2 linked regions of the Drosophila melanogaster genome follow. The protein of the gene in region 1 interacts with the protein of each later gene in a pairwise test. Each region holds a gene or a part of one and is shown on either strand. Other genes may lie near its edges.

What was found. The genes of interacting proteins can lie anywhere in the genome.
Region 2: the proteins of Tnpo-SR (region 1) and CG15578 interact in a two-hybrid assay, tested with the Drosophila melanogaster proteins (one large-scale study listed by BioGRID).

The regions. Positions count from the first base shown.
Region 1 is NT_033779.5:2,757,803-2,761,559, forward strand, and holds the start of Tnpo-SR (Transportin-Serine/Arginine rich), read left to right. Parts: upstream 1-2,121; 5' UTR 2,122-2,230; coding exon 2,231-2,344; intron 2,345-2,414; coding exon 2,415-3,506; intron 3,507-3,701; coding exon 3,702-3,757. Other genes in the region: HemK2 (HemK methyltransferase 2), read right to left, coding at 748-1,422; Snapin (SNAP associated protein), read right to left, coding at 1,441-1,845.
Region 2 is NC_004354.4:4,277,020-4,280,091, forward strand, and holds CG15578 (uncharacterized protein), read right to left. Parts: upstream 943-3,072; 5' UTR 844-942; coding exon 574-843; 3' UTR 528-573; downstream 1-527.

The DNA.
Region 1 (3,757 bases):
TGCTCCGTGCGAGAATAACATCTAGTAGCGCGAAAGGGCAAAAAGAGAAAAGAACCACGAATCGAAAACGAGAATAAGAAACAATTTTGAACGATGAAATAAATTATTGTAATTACGTAAAAGCGAAAACCGTACGTACATACCACCCATTTGGCATCTGTTCCGATGCCAATAAAAGTTTGTTTCAATTGCAGTTGGCCATTTTGGGTGGGGCAATCACCTCGCTTCGGTGTTCCCAGGGGTAGTAGTTCTTAGCCAGGAGCATGTACGTATGTAGGTACATAATTCATAGATTGGCCGCCCCTACATTACTCCGATCCATCCCTTCCATATCCCAGTTTTCGTTCGGGGGTTGACGAGCTGGTTCCCACAATCCTCCCTATGAAAGAAATCATATACTAAGGGATGATGGAAAAATTCAATCGGAAATTTCCTTTGATTAAGTACCTTTTTCGGATTGAAAATCGATTAGCCTTAGCAGATGCCTATTAAAAAAACGAATGATGAAATTCCGGGCTCTTCGTTGGGCAAATGAAGTTGAGCTACTTTTATATTCAAATTCAAATATAAGCGCAAAAATTTCTAAAAGTTTAAGAGCTTTTAAGTTTCATAAGCCATTTCTTTCATTTATTTCAACTTTTATTAAAATTATTCTCCATATTATTTAGTATCAAATTTAAGAATAAACGCCTAAAAAAGTTTATCTTTTAATTAAAATACAACTTTAATTTGATGCTATTGCACGAGTCATGATGATGCCAAGTACCTGGTGACCTTCAGTATGCACAAATGCTCGCCAGGAATGCGTCGCTCCATGAACTTAACAGCCCGGAACTGGAGGCCCTCTAAGTATTTGATAATCTCCTCCGGCTTGTTCTCCCGCAGCAGGAGTAGGTAGAGCACGCCTCGAGGCGAAAGAATGTCATCCAATTGCTTGAGTAGAATGTCCGTGACGCGTCGCCCGTCCTGTCCACCAGCCCAGGAGAAAACCAGATTGCGATCCGTTGAGGATTCGCTGTGCGAATCGAACTGTTGCGTCTGCAGCTCCTCGTCACTGGTGACTACATAGGGCGGATTGAAGAGCAGCACGTCCACGGATCGCGGACGCAGTGCATCCGCTAGGCTGCAGCGAATGCTATCCAAGCGAGCGCCATTCCGAGTCGCAGTTCTTCGAGTGGCATTGCAGGCTTTGGGATTGATATCCGTAGCTAGGCACAGCGAAAAGCCAGCCAGTTTCTTGGCCAGCGCCGTGATGATCACACCCGAACCGGAGCCCAGTTCGACGCAGAGACTCGGCTGTAGCCGGTCCAGGTACTCCAGATCCTTTTCCAGGGCATCCAGCAGCAGGAACGAGTCCTCCGCTGGCTCGTAAACGTGCTCGAAATCTTCTGGGCTCAAGTGGTCGGTGTAGGGCGTCTCCATGACGAACAGTAATTGGATTTAGGATATGTTGGTGCTGAGCGCGGAATCGAGAAGCGCCTGTCGCCGCCGCTGCTCCTTCTCTATCAGCTTGTGCAGACCCGTCAGCCGCTCCTGGCTGGTCACCAACACGTTGCTTATGACCGTCACCTTGTGCTTGACGTTCAGCAGCTCCTTCACCTTGTCCGCGAACTCGGGTATCTGACTCTGCGCCTTTTCGATGTCCCTCAGCTGGGCGGCCAGTGCATCCAGTTGGCCACGCAGCTCAGCCTGCAGCTGGATGGTGGAGGCCACGCGCTCGTCCAACCGCTCGATCGTCGGCTTGAAGAGATTGGTGATGCCCTCGGCGAGGATGTCGCGCGTGGGATTCGTGCAAAAGTTCTCCGTGTTCTCCTCCAAGGAAGTCACGGTGCTGTCCGAATCCATTGCAGAATTCTGATCAGAAAACTGATTAGAGATGTTGTTGCGAGCAACCAATGGTATCGATGTATCGACTACATAGGGGTGGCAAGTATTAAGATATAAAAACCGAGTAGCTTTATTGCTCAAAAAACGAATTCACATAAGCTAAAAAATATTTGACTGTAAAAATATTTTAATTATTTTTAATGGTCCTTAATGTTTGACGCACTTGACAACCCTGAATAATTTCAAAAAGTCCTGCAGACTATCGGACATTCACCTTTCAAAGTTATCGCATGCCACCTCCTTGCGTTATCGATACACGGGATGTACGCAATCAGCCATCGCTAATAAAGTATAATAATAAGTAATTAAGAAATTTTATGCGCTGATTAAAGCTGCCGATGAAATGGATACGTACTCGGTGGACGTGGTGTACCAAGCAATCAGCGCCCTCTTCCAAGGCAACAATCCCAAGGAGCAGGAGAAGGCCAACAAATGGCTCCAGGACTTCCAGAAGTCGGTGAGTGATAATCGCCCGGTGTACGAAACCTTCGTGCGATTGCTAAGTTTTTTTTTGGACTTCCTTAAAGATCTATTCTTGGACGATTGCGGACGAGCTGCTTCACCAGAAACGAGACCTGCACGCCAACTACTTTGCTGCGCAGACCATGCGGAACAAGATACAGAACTCCTTCAGCGAACTGCCACCGCACACGCACGAATCTCTGCGGGATTCACTGATCACACACATAGGCCAGATCGACGAGCAGACGGACAATGTGATTGTGACGCAGCTCAGTCTGGCGGTTGCCGATCTGGCCCTGCTGATGGCCAGCTGGCGGGAGCCGATCAACGATCTTCTGGTGACACTGGCGCCACATCAGTGCGCCATCTGGCCCCTGCTGGAGGTGCTCAAGGTGCTTCCCGAGGAAATAGACTCACGGTATCTGCGGCTGGGCGCCAATCGGCGCGAGGAGGTGCACAAGCAGCTGGACGCCAGCGCAGAGTGTGTCCTAAAGTTCCTGTGTATGTGCCTACAGCGGGAGGATCTCGACCAGCAGCGCGTGTGGAATGCGGCGTTGCGCACCTACAGTGCCTGGCTGGTGATCCATGCCTTTCCCGTCTCGCACGTGTACAACAACGCCCTCACACAGCTGGCCTTCCGGTTGCTCTCGCTGCCGGAGACCAGTGGAAAACTGCACGACAATGCCACCGAATGCGTGTGTGCGCTGCTCTCCTGCATAAACACACGACAGGATGGCGCCAGCGATCCGGAGTCCTCTTTCGAGGCACAACTCTTTGGAGCTGTCTGCATGCTGGAGACTCCCTATCACTTGAGTGTGGCGCACGAGGACACCGACAAGACGATCAACTACTGCCGAATTTTCACCTCGTTGTGCGATGCCTTCTTCTACGATTTATTGGCCGATGCCCAGAAGCCACACTACAGTTTGAAAGGACTGGATCTTGTGCTGCTTTGCGTCGGACACTTCGACTACGAGGTGGCCGAGATCACCTTCCACCTGTGGTACAAACTCTCCGAGGATCTATTCCAGCGCAACGAGGATAAGCTGACGGTTCTATTCCGGCCGCACATCGAGCGGCTGATCAGCGCCCTGTTTCGCCACTCGCAAATGGAGAGCGACCACGACGGGCTCATCGAGGAGAACAACAATTTCTTTGTGAGTGTGTGATATTGAGAAATTTTAGCAGTTTTCTTTGAAGTTGGGTATTTTAATTGAATAGGCATTTATGGCTAGAGTCGGTTTATTTAGAAATGAGTACAAGAAGTTTGATTAGTTTTCTACATTATCAACGTTAAATTAATATAATGCCTTGAAGTTAATTGTACTAATCTTAAAACAAATGAATTGCAGGACTTTCGACGCAAGGTCTCAGATCTAATAAAAGACGTGGCCTTCATAGTGGGATC
Region 2 (3,072 bases), on another chromosome or scaffold:
CTCGGGAACGAAAGCCCCAGATACGTGTGACAGCAAAAAGGCAAGCCAACTACATGAATTTCCTGACTGCTTCGATCCTCGAAATTTTCACATTATCATCACTCCGTAGAATGTTTGATTTTCACCGCTTAATTTATGATATAATTGCATATTTGGCGATTCAATGCAAACATTCACAAATATTTGCCACAAAACGCGTCTGCCACCAGAAGGCCAATCGGGCGTGGGATTCGGTGCCAAATGTAACGTTTAACGTTGGTAAAGCACAGTTTCGACTAATATCTGACTTTGCAGGATACGGATTGCGACCCTGTTACAGCTGCTACTGCGTCGATTACCCGGATGTTCAACAATTGGCAAGGCCCTCTTTACGTATATAATTAAAGTGCATACTTTAAGACCGAGATGTATATATGTGTCCAAACGCTTTAGCCGCCGTTGCACAGTACAAAAAGCCCCATGGAACATGATAATTTGTTAACTTCCCTACCAAATAATAACCAAATAAAACAAAAGGATACACTGTTCTGTTAAGGATTATTCTTCTTATCTGAAGTGTGGGTTTGGCGGTTTTCAAAGGTTCATCGGTTTGGTGAGGATCCAAGCGAGCAGCGAAATCTGGTTTCCCTGGCGCCTCAGAATGGCGCTTTCGATGCCATCGTGCAGATTGATTTGCACTTGGGCAAAGAATTCCGGATCGTTACGTTGGTACTGGCTGCCCAGGAAGATGTTCAGCTCTGTGTCAGTCATGGGTCGGCTAGTATGCTCCAGGACCATTATAATGGACTTAAGTAGGTTGGGTACCAACCGACGTTTCGGCAGTGTCGTGAAGATGTCGGCCATGTTTAATTTTTTTGTCGTTTTTTTTTGTGATTTTTTTTTTTTTTTTGGGAAACCAAATGTAAAAGTATAGAAAAATTTTGTTACTGACTCAACGGCTGGCCTATATCGTTATTAGCTAGGTAGGGGAACGAAAGTCCCAGCTATTTGTGACAGTAAAAGGCAATGCCAACTACATGAATTTTCAGCCTGCTTCGATCCTTGCTTTTTGGCCTTCTTGCCGGTGTGCTTCAACAGCATGGCCAATTAATCAGATGGCGACTGTGGCGGGTTGAACTTGAATGACCTCGAGGCATAAAAACGAAAACTGCAACAACAAAGGCAACAGCCAGAAAAGCAACAAAGAGCAGGAAACACAGCAACTAAAGAAAGGCTGATCGAGTTGATAGTGTCTTCAATAAATTAAAATACCCACTAAAGTATCTTGATTTGCAAGTTAAAGTGCGCCTCTTATTTTGTAACTTTTAGATTTTGCGTTGCAAAAATACATGTATATTTCTATTGCATCTTTGGGTGCAACAATTTTCCGAGTGTAGCCAGGAAGCGAAGGGCCCACAAACATCAAGTGACATTCGAGCAGAGACAAAAAGTCATTATCACGGCGACGTCGGGCCGCTCTCATCTCCACATCTCCGCATCTCCACCACTCGTGCCCACGATCTCGGCCATATATACATATATGTATGTATACCCAGGATCCCCTTCGCATTCGCATTCGCATTCGCCTCATGTTCAGCATATGGAGCACGTGGTTTGGAGTCATAGTCATCGCCATAGTCGCCACCGTCTTTGTCGCCATGTTTTTTGCCTTTTCCGGCATTTTGTTTACGATTACTTTTTGTTTTTGTGCTTTTACGTAGCATCTGTGCAGCTCAGGAGTGCATTGAAGGGGGATCGGTGTAATTTGAGTTATTGGTTGCTATACAGTAAAATATAAAGGGCAGTATTGAGCGAAAAGAAGCCGCCGGTAATCATAACAGTTTTAAGTTTGTGACAAAATCGTACACAGCATATTTGCTGAGATGTTTTACTGTATAACTAATTTAGCCGAAACTCTTCGTTCCAAGCACTAGGTATCGTTTAGTCCAAACATCAATACGATAACTTTCTTATTTGTTTTATTTGGCGTAGAGTTCTCTGCGCTCCCCAGCGTACGCGGATTTCCTTTCGAGATGGAGTTGGTAGACGGCAGTTTTCCCTGAATGATTTTCACTTGTTTGTTCTTGTTGTGTCCTCGTTGGCTGCTTTGTTCGCTTGTTCGGCTGGCCCAGGAGAAAGCCGACCCTGTTTTGCAGGACCTCCGTCCGGGATATATACACATACATATGTATATATACCGCCCAGTATTGCTCTGGGCCCCCTTCATCAGGAGCAGCCGCCAAGTGCAATTGTCATAAAGTGTCATTGGCTGACGTCGCGTCCTCGCGTCCTTTGTACAGTTGTTGGTGCGGTGAATCAACTTAAATGAGTATCCGCTTTGTAACTACAAGTGCGTGGCTTCGTTTTGTTCCCTTTTAGCTAACATCTTTTACCCAACAACCGGCGGGGAAAATAGAAAGAGTGAGTTAGAAGCCGGCCAATTGGCTTTGTGTGCGACTTAGCTTTGTTTTGGACCCCAGGTCTAGGTCTAGGACTAGGACTAGAGCTCGACTGAAGGATAAAGGATTCGGGCTACAGGATGCATGAGAAAAATCGCAGACAAAGGGCTCCCATTTCAGTGAAAGCAATTGAGCGAAAAAAAGCCCCAAGTCTTAATCCAAAACAACCGAATAGAATAAACTCTTTTTAAGTACAGATATCTAAAATTAGTAACTTTGTATTAATAAAAAATCATAATATGTATGTCATTATAAGCTACGATTTATATCTAGTCTCTATAAATGGCTGTATGATTCACATTTGGTAATCAGCACATAAGAGCTTAAACACACCTCTTTTTTAAACCCCTACGCTGCAATTACAAATCTACTTTGCAACTTTTTCGCGCGAGCACAACTGTACTTTTGGCATCTATGCAAAAGCGTGGGATAGCAAATGGAAAAGTGATTTATGGTAGCAACACTGCCGCATCGCACGGGTTGGTGTTGAGGTGGGGTCGGTGTTGAGGAGTTCAGGAGTTGAAGACGAAAAGGCTCCACCGTCCTTAAGCGGCTTATACGTAACTGCATGGGGCGAATTATGCTGCATCGCCGCAGGACTCGCATAGTGCTCTCTTCCATATGGCAGCCGGCC